2 linked regions of the Oryctolagus cuniculus genome follow. The protein of the gene in region 2 purifies or fractionates together with the protein of the main gene of each other region. This does not show direct contact. Links are inferred from orthologs where the notes say so. Each region holds a gene or a part of one and is shown on either strand. Other genes may lie near its edges.

Region 1 (7,937 bases), on a different chromosome or scaffold from region 2:
AGGGCTCCCCAGGGACAGACTCCCAGGGACAGACCCCAGGGACAGACTCCCAGGGACAGGGATCCCCAGGGACAGACCTCCTGAGGGACAGGCTCCCAGGGACAGCCCCCAGGGACAGGCCCCCAGGGACAGGGCTCCCCAGGGACAGGCCCCCAGGGACAGATTCCCAGGGACAGACCCCCAGGGACAGACTCCCAGGGACAGGGCTCCCCAGGGACAGCCCCAGGGACAGGGCTCCCCAGGGACAGGCCCCCAGGGACACACTCCCAGGGACAGACCCCAGGGACAGACTCCCAGGGACAGGCCCCAGGGACAGACCCCCAGGGACAGATTCCCAGGGACAGGGATCCCCAGGGACAGACCTCCTGAGGGACAGGCTCCCAGGGACAGCCCCCAGGGACAGACTCCCAGGGACAGGCCCCAGGGACAGCCCCCAGGGACAGGCTCCCAGGGACAGGGCTCCCCAGGGACAGCCCCAGGGACAGGCCTCCAGGGACAGGCCCCCAGGGACAGACTCCCAGGGACAGACTCCCAGGGACAGGCCCCCAGGGACAGACCCCAGGGACAGACTCCCAGGGACAGGGCTCCCCAGGGACAGCCCCAGGGACAGGGCTCCCCAGGGACAGGCCCCCAGGGACAGACTCCCAGGGACAGACCCCAGGGACAGACTCCCAGGGACAGGCCCCAGGGACAGGGCTCCCCAGGGACAGCCCCAGGGACAGGGCTCCCCAGGGACAGGCCCCCAGGGACAGACTCCCAGGGACAGACCCCAGGGACAGACTCCCAGGGACAGGCCCCCAGGGACAGGCCCCAGGGACAGGGCTCCCCAGGGACAGCCCCAGGGACAGGGCTCCCCAGGGACAGCCGCAGGGACAGGCCTCCAGGGACAGGGCTCCCCAGGGACAGACTCCCAGGGACAGACCCCAGGGACAGACCCCCAGGGACAGACTCCCAGGGACAGGGCTCCCCAGGGACAGCCCCAGGGACAGGGCTCCCCAGGGACAGGCCCCCAGGGACAGACTCCCAGGGACAGACCCCAGGGACAGACTCCCAGGGACAGGGCTCCCCAGGGACAGCCCCAGGGACAGGGCTCCCCAGGGACAGACTCCCAGGGACAGACTCCCAGGGACAGGGATCCCCAGGGACAGACCTCCTGAGGGACAGGCTCCCAGGGACAGCCCCCAGGGACAGACTCCCAGGGACAGGGCTCCCCAGGGACAGCCCCAGGGACAGGGCTCCCCAGGGACAGCCGCAGGGACAGGCCTCCAGGGACAGGCCCCCAGGGACAGACTCCCAGGGACAGACCCCAGGGACAGACCCCCAGGGACAGACTCCCAGGGACAGACTCCCAGGGACAGACCCCAGGGACAGACCCCCCAGGGACAGACTCCCAGGAACAGGGCTCCCCAGGGACAGGGCTCCCCAGGGACAGACCCCCAGGGACAGACTCCCAGGGACAGGGCTCCCCAGGGACAGACCCCAGGGACAGACCTCCTGAGGGACAGGCTCGCAGGGACAGACTCCCAGGGACAGACTCCCAGGGACAGGCCCCCAGAGACAGACCCCTAGGGACAGACCCGCAGGGACAGACACTCCCAGGGACAGGCCCCCAGGGACGTGTGTGAGCTCCCCAGGGCTGTCCCTGGGGGTCTGTGTGTGGCGAGACTGCTGCAAAGCGAGCAGACGGAGCAGCCCAGCAGACGAGGCCTGAAAGCCGCGACGTTCCCGGAGGCCTAACCGGGTCCGCCCGCCGGGGCTGAGCCGGGCAGCGGACAGATCCCCGACGCCATTTTAGATTCTGCAGGCAAAGACAACGGAGGCCGCGAGGCACGGAGGCCGCGAGGCACGGAGGCCGCGAGGCCCTCGGGGGAGGAACACCCACCAGCCAGGAATCCTGGCCCGACACAGCTCCCGGCAGAGCGGAAGACAGGGCCGCGCGGCGCCGGCACCCACGTGGCGCCGGTTCTAGTCCCGGCTGCTCCTCTTCCCACCCAGCTCCCTGCCGCGGCCTGGGAAGGCGGCCAGACACGGCCCAGGTGCTTGGGCCTGGGCGGCCATTTTGGGAGTGAACCAGCGGACCGAAGCAGGAAACTGCTCTCCCTCCCTCTCCCTCCCTCTCTCCCTCTCCCTCCCTCCCCCTCTCTCCCTCCCTCTCCCTCTCTCCCTCCCTCTCCCTCCCCTTCTTTCTCCCTCCCCCTCCCTCCCTCTCCCCCCTCTCCCCCCTCCCTCCGTCTCCCTCCCTCTCCCCCTCCCCCCTCTCTCCTTCTCCCCCTCCCTCCCCCTCTCTCCTTCTCCCCCTCCCTCCCCCTCTCTCCTTCTCCCCCTCCCTCCCCCTCTCCCCCTCCCCCTCCCTCTCCCCCTCCCTCCCTCCCTCTCTCCCTCCCTCTCTCTCTCCCTCCCTCCCTCTCCCTCCCCCTCTCTCCTCCCTCCCCCTCCCTCCCTCTCTCTCCCTCTCCCTCCCTCCCCCTCTCTAACTCTGCCTCTCAGAGAAGTAAATAAAACCTTAAACATAATGAGGACAACGCACACACACACTTGCAGGCAAGCAGAGCTCAGAGGGGCCGGCAGGTTCACCCCACAAGCAGTATAAGGGAAGAACTTAGCCGGCGGCCCCGACGCAACCTACACCCACACAGTGTTCACACGGCACACCCACAGTGTTCACACACACGCACACACAGTGTTCACACACTGCACACACACACAGTGTTCACACACGCACACACACCCACACAGTGTTCACATGGCACACACACACACAGTGTTCACACATGGCACACACACCCACACAGTGTTCACACACGCACACACATGCACGCACACAGTGTTCACACACGTACACACAGTGTTCACACATGGCACACACCCAGTGTTCACACACGGCACACACACACAGTGTTCACACACGCACAGTGTCCACACACACATGCAGTGTACACACATGGGACACACACACAGTTTTCACACACGGCACACACACAGTGTTCACACACACACAGTGTTCACACACGCACACACGGTGTCCACACACACATGCAGTGTACACACATGGGACACACAGTTTTCACACACGGCACACACACAGTGTTCACACATGGCACACACAGTGTTCACACACACACGGTGTCCCCATACACATGCAGTGTTCACACACGGCACACACACACAGTGTTCACACACACACCCACACACAGTGTTCACACACGCACACACAGCATACACACACGCACAGTGTACACACACGGCACACACAGTGTACACACATGAAGTGTTCACACACGCACACAGTGTTCACACCCCCCCACAGCATTCACAGATGCACATACACAGGCATACACAGCGTACACACGCAGTGTTCACACATGTACACACACAGCATACACACACGCACACAGTGTACACACACGCACACACGGCACCCACACACGCACACACGGCACCCACACACGCACACAGTGTACACACACGAACAGTGTTCACACACGCACATACACACGCAGTGTACACACACGAACAGTGTTCTCACACACCCACAATGTTCACACACAGCCCCCCCCACCGCAGCCTCCACACGGGCTTTCGCCGCCTCCTGAGCCGCACAGGGCGGTGTCCGCGGTGACAGGGCGGGGTCCACAGGCCGACACCCCCCCAGACTGACACCCCCCCCAGACCCGAGGGCCCGCGGGGTCCACAGGCCGACACCCCCCCCCCAGACCGGAGGGCCCGCGGGGACCACAGGCCGACATCCCCCCCAAGACCGGAGGGCCCGCGGGGTCCACAGGCCAACACCCCCCCAGACCGGAGGGCCCGCGGGGTCCACAGGCCGACACCCCCCCCCCCAGACCGGAGGGCCCGCGGGGTCCACAGGCCAACACCCCCCCAGACCGGAGGGCCCGCGGGGTCCACAGGCCGACCCCCCCAGACCGGAGGGCCCGCGGGGTTCACAGGCGCAGAGCCGCAGCGGGAAGGCGGGCTCCGGTCCGAACCCCACGGGGAGGGGACGGCACACAGGCAGGAGGGGGCTCGGCCACCACCCCCTCCGTCAGGGCCGCAGCCCAGGGACAGGGGCCGGGCTCCGCACCGGGCGGCGAGGACAGCGGAGGCCGGGTCAGGGGCGAGCCCCTCCCTCCAGCGCGGGTCCAGAGACCACAACCAGGAGGCGGGGCCAGAGCCCCTCCCCGCAGGGTCCAGGAGGCGGGGCCAGAGCCCCTCCCCGCAGGGTCCAGGGCCCTCGGGGGGGGCGTGACCAGAGCCCCCTCCCCGCAGGGTCCAGGAGGCGGGGCCAGAGCCCCTCCCCGCAGGGTCCAGGGCCCTGGGGGGGCGTGACCAGAAGCACCTGCCCCAAACATGGTCCAGATCCCTCTCCAGGGGGCGTGCCAGAAACCCCCCTCCCGCGCGGGCCCACACCCATCCTCCAGGGGGCGTGGCTCGAAGCCCCTCGCCCTGGGCGTGCAGGACCCCCGCGGGGGCGTGGCCCGGAACTCCCGCCCGGGGGCCTCAGCCAGGCCAGGCCGCGGCTGCCCCTCAGCCCGGCCTCCCGCGGCCCCAGCTCGGCCCTCGGCGCGCCCGGCGCAGCCCCTGCCGGCCTCCGCCCCTCACCTTCCGCCTCCTCATGGGTGTGAGCGGCGCCCCGCGCCCGGCCTACCGCTCCGCAGTGGCGCGGCGGCTCGCGGCGCTCACACATGCCGCCGGCGTCTGACGTCACGACGGCCGGCCAATCGCAGGCCGGCGTTCCCAGGCACGTGACCCGGCCCTGCGTGGGTCACTCAGCTCGCGGGCGCTGCTCGGGTGACTCGGTCGCCGGTTTCGGGAGGGGCAGTGGGCTGCTTTTCTCGGCGCGACTGTGGCTTCCGTGTTCGACAGGGGCGGCTGCCTTCTTTGAGGGCCGCCTCTTGGCGCGTCAGCTACCGGCGTGGTGGAGCGCGGTGGCGGCCATGTCTGAGACGGGCATTTCCGCAGACGCGCCCGTGGCCGCCATGTCTGAGAAGGGCGACGGCCATGTTTGAAAAGGGCGCTCACCCCTGGCGCGTCTGGGGCCGCCATGTCTGAGAAGGGCAGCGGCCAAGTCTGGGAAGGGCGCTTCCTCCTGGCGCGTCCGAGGTCGCCTTGGCTGAGGGTCGCCTAGCTGCGCCTGCGCAGAAGGGCGGGACAAGAGGGGGGCGGGGGTCAGGACCGCTTTTCTAGTTTTCAAGTTTTCTAAATAAAAGTAGAAAACCCAGCCCTGCCCCCTGAGCGGCCCCCGACCCCTTGGGTTCAGTGAGCGGAGCTGCAGCAGGTGCAGGTGCGCCCGCACCGACAGACACGCACGGACGGGGACAGCACACGGCCCTGGGTCCCTCCCCGCAGGTGCGCTGGGAGCGGGAGCCCTAGCCGCTCCCCACGGCGCCCACTCCTCGCCCGGCCTGCCGCCGCCCGGGGTGGTGCCCACGGATGCGGAGCCCCCGACGCGCGTGGCCTGCCGCGCCCTTGCGCCAGGCCCCACGCCGGCCCGGTCTCCCTCCTGCCTGTGGAATCCCATCAGCTGCTCTGTCCTCTGCGGAGCCCCCGGCCGCGCCCCCTTCTCTGGCCGGCGCTGCCCGCAGCAGCTGGGCCCCGTCCAGGTCCGACTGGAGGAGCTGCGGGGGCCGGCTCAGCTGCTGTCACCCGGCCCGAGGCGGGGCGTGGGCCCCCGGGGGGCCGGCGAGCATGTCCCCCTCGGACAGGTGTGTCCCCCGGGACGGCGGCTGGGCCGGGCCCCGAGAGACCGCAGACGGGGGAGCTCGTGGCCCAGGCCCCCCGCATTCTCTGCGCAAACATCTGTGTGTGCGCGGCGGAACACGCGAACGCCGGCGGGAACTGCCCACTGGTTAGCTGGCAGAGGCTCGTCAGCGGAGGCCGCCCTGGTGGAGCGGTCTGTCCAGGCTGCTGACCTCTGCGAGGGACGCGGTCAGGCCTTTGTATTTCAAAGGAGAGAAGGAAGGAGCTCAGAGTTTGCCCCCCCCCCCCCCATGGCGCCCGCGGACCGGGTCTCCGCACAGCTGCCGGGGTTTCTGTCGGGCGGGGACGCGCCCCCCACGGGACAATGGCCTTGGAAGGAAGCAGCCTGGGGCCTGCAGGGCCTGGGCGGGGCCCGAGTTCCCAGCTCTGTGTCGTGGGCACCTTGGGGCAGGCGCTGAGACGCCGCCTCCCTTCAGCAGGGCTGTGGGGGTGCCGGGGCCACGGAAGTGCACGGAGGTCAGCCCCTCGCCGCCCGTCACCCCTGCCTCCCACCCGTGGGGGCTCCCGCGGCCCCTCACCCTCCTGGCTGCTCTGGTTAGGCGTCATTGTCGTGACACACTGGGGATAGTTTGCCCCCACACGTGCTGACCCTCAGCTGCTGGGGGCTCCCCTCCGAGGCCACGTGCTGACAGCTCCTCGGACAGGCGCCTGGGTCCCGGGCCTCACCGCGTCTGTGCCCTGGCCACCGCCGAGGACGGCAGGGGGACCTCTGCCCGCTCCTGCTGGGGCTGCGTTTTAGACGGACATAGATGGAGGTTTTTTTTTTTTTTTTTTTTTTTTAGATTTATTTATTTATTTGAAAGTCACAGAGTTAGAGAGAGGGGAGACAGAGAGAGAGAGAGGTCTTCCATCTCCTGGTTCACTCCCCAATTGGTTGCAACGGCTGGAACTGTGCCAATCCAAATCGGGAGCCAGGAGCGTCTTCTGGGTCTCCCACGTGGGTGCAGGGTCCCAAGCACTTGGGCCATCTTCTACCGCTTTCCCAGGCCACAGCAGAGAGCTGGACTGAAGTGGAGCAGCTGGGACTTGAACCAGCGCCCATATGGGATGCCGGCACTGCAGGCGGCGGCTTTACCCGGTGCACCACGGTGCTGGCCCCGGGGATGGAGTTTTTGGGCGGAGTTAGGAGGGGCCCAGAGACCTCAGGCTCAGGTCTGTTGCCCCGAGGGGCCCTCCCTGAGCTGACTTCATCAGGCTGCAGACCAGGGAGGGCACCCGTGGGCTACGGAGACAGATAAGGTGCCCCGACCCTGCCCTGTCCGTCCAAGAAGGACAGGGGCCTATAAGGGGTGGCAGAGGCTCTCGGACGTTGGCAGCGCCCACCCTGGAGGGCGGAATGGTGCACGAGGTGGCCCCCTTCCCTGTGCCTTCCAGCCGCCCACTCCTCCCACCCCCCACCCCCTGCTCTTCACGTGAGCTGCCCCTCTCCCCGCCCCTCTGGCAGCAGGAGGAAGGGAGGCATGTGGTGGGGGATGGTGGGGGATGGTCAGAGCGGGAGATCTGCAGGCCAGGGAGGGGAAGGTGGCCAGGAGCTGGTGTTGGTCAGGCTGGGTCAGCCCTGCTCCAGGGACAGCCTGCGGTCAGCCGTGTTCTCTGTGGCTGGCTCCCCTGCATGGCGCCCCCCGCCCGCCGTGCCTTGGAGGGCGTGGCCCGTGCTGGGCACCACCTCAGCGGCTGTGACGCGGTCTCCCAGGTGTGCAGAGCAGGGTCAGGTCAGCCCGGCTCTAGGCGGCACACGCGGACGTGAGTGGCCCAGGCAGGGTTACCGGCCACTCACGCCCAGCAGCTAACGGGCGTGAACTGATGTCGCAGACATAACCTTGCTCCTCGGCCGGCGGCTCTGCCAAGGCTGGCGCGCTCCCGGCTTCACCTGTCCTCTGTGAGTGGCAGCTCAGCCCTGCCTTGCTCCCGCCTCCTTCTGAGTCTCCTGCTGCGTTAGCGGGCTCCACGCGTGCCTCTGGGTCCGCGGGGTGTCGGCTCGGCACAAGGAACAGGTCCCGATGCTGTGCCGGCTTCGGCGTCGGGGTGGCGCCGTCGGGAACTCGTGGGCGTCCTGCGGCTTCGGCGGTTGGCCTGAATCCAGAGCTGGGAAGGTGGGGGAGGCGTCAGTTGCAGGGCTGTGATGCGTCCCGGTGTCCGGAAGGCGGGGCTCCGCCGGCTCGGGGGTCAGGGAAGGGGGG
Region 2 (7,837 bases):
TGGGGCCTAGAAGTCCACTGGGCAGCCTTCAACCCGCACATCCTAATCAGGGCACTGCCACAACTCCCTGTGATTCCCAACAACCTCCATAAAATAAAGCTGGCCAGTTCCATTTTGTAGGTAATAAAAGCAAGGCCCAGGCCAGTGCCACGGCTCAACAGGCTAATCCTCCGCCTTGCGGTGCCAGCACACCGGGTTCTAGTCCCGGTCAGGGCGCAGGATTCTGTCCCGGTAGCCCCTCTTCCAGGCCAGCTCTCTGCTGCGGCCCGGGAGTGCAGAGGAGGATGGCCCAAGTCCTTGGGCCCTGCACCCACATGAGAGACCAGGAGAAGCACCTGGCTCCTGGCTTCGGATCAGCGCGGTGCACCGGCCACAGTGCGCCGGCCGCAGCGGCCATTGGAGGGTGAACCAACGGTAAAGGAAGACCTTTGTCTCTCTCTCACTGTCCACTCTGCCTGTCAAAAATAAATAAATTAATTAATTAAATTTAAAAAAAAAAAAAAAAAAAACCAAACAAGGCCCAGAGAGGTGAGACGACTTGCCTGAGGCCACAAAGCCCAGCCCATCAACCACAGAAAATGCAACTGGATCCCTGCCCTGTCATCAGGCAACACTCCTTTCAGGAGAATTCCAAGTTCCCAACTCAAAGTGCGTTTCTCTTACTTTTTGCAGAAAAGCAGACACCATGTAGCCCTGAATTAAATGCTAGCTGAAGTCTACACTCCTAGATTACAGAGGTCGCCCGAGGTCAAGTGTGTTTACTACAGGCAGCTGCAGCAGAGGCGTGACAAGCTGGCCAGCAGCCAGGATGCTCCGGCTCCAGGCGTTTCTCTGGCGCCCTGAAGACACCCTTCTCGCCAGGGCTGCAGCCACCACCCGCGTTCAGCTCCTGTCCGCAGCACAGCGCCTCACTGCACGCTGGCTCTCCGAGGCCGGCCCGGGCCCAGCCTTTCCACAATGACAGCAGGACATGGTCTGCCCTCTTTCATTCGCTCCTGAGTGCTCGCCCGCGTCTTCCAGCAGCTCCACGCTGAGTGGCACGGCACCACTCTATAAAGCAGAAGGAAACGACAGTCCAGCCGATGACGGCCACACTACAGATCTGCAACCACAAAATGATGCCGCTCTACCAGCTGGACTTGGTTTGCAAAATAGTAATTTTCCATACAATATATTTAACACTCAATTGTTTCACTGTTATTTATTCATTCATTTGAAGGGAACATTTAAAAGATCCTCAGTATGAACTTAATACTACAAACGTCCACAGCTATAACCCCAAACCCAAACCCCTGGAGTCCTCAATTTCAAGAGCGAGGAGCGACTTGCAGATCAAAACTTCTGTGAATCACCGGTCTGTGCGTTCTCTGAGATTCCTCTTCCCACCCCTCTCTCAAGGCCACTCTAGGGGCCAGCACTGTGCTGCAGTGGGTTAATGCCCTGGCCTGACCCACCGGCATCCCATATGGGTGCCGGTTCGAGACCCGGCTCCTCCACTTCCAATCCAGCTCTCTGCTATGGCCTGGGAAAGCAGCAGAAGATGGTCCAAGCCCTTGAGCCCCTGCACCCACGTGGGAGACCGGGAAGAAGCTCCTGGCTCTGGATCAGCATAGCTCTGGCCAGTGGGCCAACTGGGGAGTGAACCAGCGGATGGAAGACCTCTCTCTCTTTCTCTAACTCTGACTTGCAAATAAATAAATCTTTAAAAAAAAAAAAGGCCACTGTACTTAGGGGTTCCCCAGTTAATTGCCAAAACCACACAGGACCACAAATGGCTGCCTACTGCTAAGTCCTCCGCGCAGGTCTTAGCTCACTCAAGCTCCAGGTGGCATATGCCACGACCAATCACCTCCTCCTCAAGTCCTTGCCTCTCTTGCTAGCTCTTTCCTTTCTCCACAGCTCCAAGGCCGGACGGCCCAGGAGCTCAGTTCTCTGCTCTCTGGTCTGCACTCTACAGCTCCTTGGCAGTCCCTAGTTTCTATCTGAAGGCTGGCCCCTTCCCTTGAACCCCACTCTCATTCACCTGTCTACTTTACATCCGCGTTTAGATTCTATATAGGTGTGACAAACTTGCAGATGAAAAAGCCTATCTTCCTACAACCCAGCCTACTCTCCCAGTATCTTCCCAGCATTATTTGGTGACAACTGTATCCTTCTCATCAGGCCAAACCCTTGGAGTCGCTGTTAATTCCCCTTTTCCCATAATTCACGCTCAATCCAGCAGGAAACCCTGTTGGATCTGAGTTCCAAGTTTACCAAATCCCTTCACCACCTCACCTCTGCACTGCTTGGAGCCGCCAACATCTCTCACCTGGATTGTCAAGGTCATTTCCCATCTCAGCCCTCACCTGCTGCCTTACGTTCTTTTTAGCGCAGGAGACGGAGACCAGATTATGCCACGACTGTAAGCACCAGTGGATTTTCACCTCTCCCCAAAATAAAAGCCGGACTTGACTCCTGGTTACCTCCCTACCCTCTTTTCTTGTCTGCTCCACCTCTCTTGCCTTTACCCTGGCTGTGATCTGTTTGGGACACTCTTCCCTAAGAAATCCAAGACTCACTACCTCAACTCCTTATTTTTCTTCCAAGATCCCACCCTGAACCCTTCCATTTAAAAGCACAACCCTCACCGCCCAGCACTTAGCACTTCCTAATAAATTGCCTATGCCTACTATCTGCCTGACTTCCCAATTGAATGGAAGCCCTACAAATGCAAAGAATGCTGTCAGTCTTGTTCACTGAAATACCACCTGTGCCTACAATGGTACCTGGCAAAAGTGTGGGAAAAAATGCACTAAATGAATAGATGGATCAAGCCTCTCATTCTACCTGGCCAGATACAGGTCACCCACACCACCGACTTGAAGCTTTTGGCACCACAAGGTTTGGCTCTGGGCACACAGACTCGGGCCCAGGATCACAACTCTAAATGCCCACCCAGAACTGGGAAGGACAGGCTATAGTCAAATTGGCACCACTGGTACTTAAACTCGTAATCTATCAGAGCCACACAATTCAGTTGAGACGCTTACCTGTAGCTACATTCCTAGTTCCTAATCTTTTCTCCTGTTTAAGGCCACCTGTTGTCCTAGATGAAGGAATCATCCCTCTTGAGAAAGAACTTCACCCTGCAAAGCAGCACAAATCCCAAGTGCTGTGCCCAAACAGAAGCCCTGATCTCAACATGTTGTGACAACTCCATAATCCTAACCCAAACCCAGGTGCCTCTTCCCATGACAACCTTCTTGCTGCACCAGAGTAAACCTGAATTCTAGATTCTTTCAAAAGCAGAAAAGGAGATGGAAATGGGACGTGACAGCACGAAACGTAATTAAAATGCCGTCTAGCCTAGTCTTGTGGCTTGTAACATACCGCTACTCCAAACCTAGCTGTGGGGAATGTTGTTCTCTCACTCAGTGGGTAGCTGGACAAATTGGCCTGACACCTGGAAGGTACTCAATAAATGTCTGTGGAATGGAGAATTCAAGCTAGTGACTCACTCCAGAAATACGCACTCTGAGAGCACCACAGACATAACCAGGCTCAACTTGGTGTGAGCCAACTGCACCAATTAACGAGGCTGAGGAAGAGAAAGGAGAGCCTCGCAGTGACCCAGGTGACGCAAGGCCCTGTGCTGAGATGCCCGAGGCCTCTCCCTTTGTGGTCACTGGGGTCAGCACTGTCTCCCACTATCTGGGAGTCTCATTTCCAGTTTGGCAAGTTGATGTTAAGGAAAAGGCAGCTCAGAGTAAGACAAACCTGTCCTTAACTCAGCAGGGCTTGAGCCTTGCAGGGCTGTGAAGGTGAACCATGTGGAAACACCTGCCCCGTGCCGGGAGCCATCTTACTTCCCTTGCCCATACTAGGACCCTGCTCTGGTCCGCAGAATGACTGCTGCTGCTCTTGGTACACGCTTTCGTCTGTCCAGTGCGCCAGGCTCCTGCCGGCTCCTGGCCCCACACAGAGGTGGGTCCTTCTACCTAACACACCTCTGCCCTAATCCCGGTTCTTGCCTCTGGACACTACCAGCCCTTCTCCCCACCCTTTTAAGGAATGTTAAGGCCAAGTTCACACAACACTTCACTTTAAAACAACTGTAACTGATGTCTCTCCCCAGCTCAGCTGCAGAACTCATGGGGATGGGGAATGTTTCTGATTGGGTTGATCACGTAACCCACAAGCCTAGACAAATGAAAAGTCCGCCACACATCTAGTAAGCAGAGGCTTCCACATGAGTATCCACTGTAGTATGTACAATGGAGAAACAGCCTGCTACCTGAACTAGAATGGTTCAAGTAGGGTACCCAAAATGGGATGTCACACTCAGGAAACTGAAATCCACGCTCAAGTGTGATGGGAGAAGGCTCCAAAGAGTGCAAAGTACAGGGAGCAACGTTCCATATAACTACAAGGCTTAAACTCTGCGGAACTGGATCTGATGACAGGGACAGGATCAGGGACGGTATTTACCCACTGAAAATAGCATTTTCTACAGCGAGCAATGATTACTTGATGGTGGGAACAAGAGCTTCTTAAGAACCTTAAGGGACAGCTCCAACGCAACCTGCTCTCAGACTTCTCTAGACTTTACGGCTTATATTCAAATAACCCCACTCTCTCCTGGTCAAGACTTGGGGAGATGGTGGAGAACAAGCACTCGGATCTCTTGCACCCCCCTCCCCGCCCCGCCCAACTCCAGCGTAAAAGCTCGGTCCAGCAAGCGTTCGTGTTCAAGCACCGAACAAGGAGAGTACTCACCTAGTTTAAAACACCCAAGATGCTCAGCCCTGAATTTTAAGCAGCACATGTGACCTGGTCCATTCTGGTTTCAAGTTCAAAGGCATCAGGCCGGTCCTGTGGGTTAGCAGCTAACATGTCTTTCAAGAGCTGCTTGATCCCCTCAGACATGGAAGTCCTACGTTTCTGGGGGATGTGCAACTCCATCTTTGGGTTTTCTAGCAGCGCCTCGCCAACAGGGACGATCTCAGTGCCCTGTTTGATGTAGGTCCCCAGGAGCTCCTTCTTGGTCTCAGAGTCAATAAAAGTGATTCTCTCTATCATTGCCCAGATGATAATGCCCAGGGCAAAGATGTCCGCCTTGGCCGTGTAGTGCCCCTCCCAGACTTCGGGAGCCATGTAGAAGTCCGAGCCGCAGGCAGAGGACAGCCAGTACTTGTTCACATTCACATTTTTGTTGTCTGGATTGCCCTCTCTGCCACGGGGTGCCAGCCCGGCACAGACCTTGCTCAGTCCAAAGTCTGCCACCTTGAGGATGGGGGTGCCCGACCGCTCGGTGATGAGAATGTTGTCCGGCTTTAGGTCCCTGTGCACGATGTGGTTTTTGTGCAGGAAGGCAATGGCACTGGTGAGCTGTAGCATGAAGCTTTTGTTGGTGGCGGGATCCGGCCTCCGAGACAGGACATACTGATTCAGGTCTCCACCTTCACAGAACTCCATGACAAACCAGAGATAGCACGGCTCCTCCGCGTAGCCCAGGATCCTTTCTCCTGGATCAAAGACAGGAAGGAGCGCGAGTGAGACGGACACACGGGCACAGCACTATTAGAATAAAAGAACGCAGCGTTTTAAAGTTCAGAGTGACAGAGGTGATGAACAAGAGGTGCTCCAAGAACACCTGCATAGCAGGTACCACACCTGTGCCTTTCACACACAGGCCTGTTTCTACCCACAGCAGACAAGGTCAATACACAGGCATGAGGCTCCGATCAAGCACTGGAGTTTGGAATCAAGTTGAGGTAGGAACTCAGTTCTCTGCTGTTTGGTGGACTAAGAAGCTATGTTTTCCTTGTGTGGTCTTCAAGCAAGCAGCTCCCGCCCATCCCTCCCAGGGTACTGGCCATGACACAGGTAAGGCAAGAGAGACAGCCATTAGATGTCCACGGCTTCTGTCACTGTTACTCCGTGCCAGGCAGATGACCTTCCCTCTCCTCTCTGTTGACCTGTAGAAGGATTCTCATGAACACATCTGGACTAGCACTACCACTCTGCTTACTTCTGAATCACCCTCCAATCCATCAGTGGACTCTGCTAGCCCACCAGACGCCTAGCACGGGCTGGGCACATAAAGAGCCCCATCTACAGGAAGCTGAGTGACAAGGACCTACAACAGCGGGCCATACCTGCATCAAGGTCAACTTCTAGGAACAGTGAAGGGTGGGCAGGAGTCCCCAGGTCTGAGGACGTCATCGGCTGCAGGACAGGCAGCAGTGTAGCAGGAGGCAAGAAGGGAATTCTAGACCAAGAGACGAACTGGACAACAGAACACGGGGACAAAGGAATGGAAAGGAAGTCCGCTGGGAACAGTGGCATCTGAATTAAGTTGTGTGGTCTTGAAACTCCAGGAAAGCTGGTGACTAATTCCTCTACGTAAATCTCAACTGAGGCAGATGAGGAAGCTGGACTGCAAGGGAAGGGACCTGCCCTGCATGGTCACTGGGCATCTGGACCTCAGCCAGGACCTGAGTCCTCCAGGCCCCCGCATGCTGTACCCATTATAGCAAAAACAAGGGCTACACCTTCTCAGGAAGACTCTGCCAGAAGGTTCCTCCCACTAGACTTTTATTCGACTTTATTACAAAGAGAACCAGGTACACGACTAACCCAGTAGCCCCGGAGCTCCAGGCTGAGACCAGAGATGACCTGACATGCAAGACAAAAGCTTTAGGTTTGTGACCACAATCTGACAGGCCTCACTTCCCTTGTCATTATATAATTTTCTTGTTTCTATTACTCTCAATCAGAGTAATACAGGTAGAACCAGTTTAGGGCAGATGGGTTTCTTTTTTTAAAAAATCAGTTGCTTCCTCTCTCATAATCCTCTTTCTAGGTCATTGGCTGAGTGGGTCGAGGTGCTGGATCTAAAAACACCAGAAAATGAAGCAGCGATTTGAAACACAGATCAGCGTCAGTTGAAGAGCAAAGATCTGTTAAGGGGGAAGCAAGAAACGTCTCCTGGTGGCAAAGCCAGAAAGGAGTTTAAAAGCCATCAAATTCCTGCTGAAGGGCCTGGTCAGAAAACACTGAAACTTCGGGTGGGGGAATAAAGGGTGGGGAACGACATTATTTTATATACAAAGTTGGTAACCATGGTAACTGAAGTAGAAAGAAAACAAGTCTGCAAAACAGACTGAAGCATAGGGCTAGATTATGAGAATCCAAGGGAAGACAAAAAGGCGTGCACATACACACACTCACAAGTGCCCTGCATTAGTGAGTGGGTGGGGGAGACGGGCCCCTGGAAGGAGACGCCTGCTCTGAGTAAGTCAGCTAAGCTCAGGAGATGCTAAAGGCCGGGTGATTAAGACGCCACCTGGGACGCCTGCATCCCCTGTTGGAGGGGCTGGGTTCAAGTCGCTGCTTCACTTCAGACACCATGTGACGGCTCAATCACTCGGGTTCCTGCCACCCACGTGGGAGACCCAGATTGAGGTTCTGGCTTCCAGCTTCGGTGCTGGGGGATTGAACCGGCAGATGGAAGATATCTGTGTATCTCTCTGCCTAAAAAAAATAAATTTTTTTTGAAAAGTGAAAAGGCGGGGCCGCGTGCTGAGAGGGAAACTCTGGATAGGAGGCAGCACCATCAGACTCCATCAGTGAGCATGGCAGGAGGGAACACCGGCCGGTGCTGCTGCTTGTCCCGGAGACAAATGACTCTGCACGGAGTCTGGGTTTCAACCCCGACTCTGCCCGCTGCAGGGTGGATTCTTAGTGCAAGGAAAACGGGGAAAATGAGGAAGGGTGGAAAGGCAGTCAGAACCTCGGCAGTCCCTGAACCTCTCTGACCTCCATCCTCTCACGGATCAAACAAGACTGACAC

What was found. Proteins that work in one complex are often made in the same cells at the same time.
Region 1: the proteins of STK35 (region 2) and C7H1orf174 purify together in Homo sapiens (affinity purification with mass spectrometry; 3 studies listed by BioGRID and IntAct, counting the BioPlex papers as one, with this or other methods). This does not show direct contact. The link is inferred for Oryctolagus cuniculus from reciprocal best matches to the Homo sapiens genes STK35 and C1orf174.

The regions. Positions count from the first base shown.
Region 1 is NC_091438.1:162,668,314-162,676,250, reverse strand, and holds the start of C7H1orf174 (UPF0688 protein C1orf174 homolog), read right to left. Parts: upstream 4,758-7,937; 5' UTR 4,615-4,757; coding exon 4,600-4,614; intron 1-4,599.
Region 2 is NC_091442.1:27,788,851-27,796,687, reverse strand, and holds part of STK35 (serine/threonine-protein kinase 35), read right to left. Parts: intron 5,508-7,837; coding exon 4,795-5,507; 3' UTR 4,759-4,794; intron 1-4,758.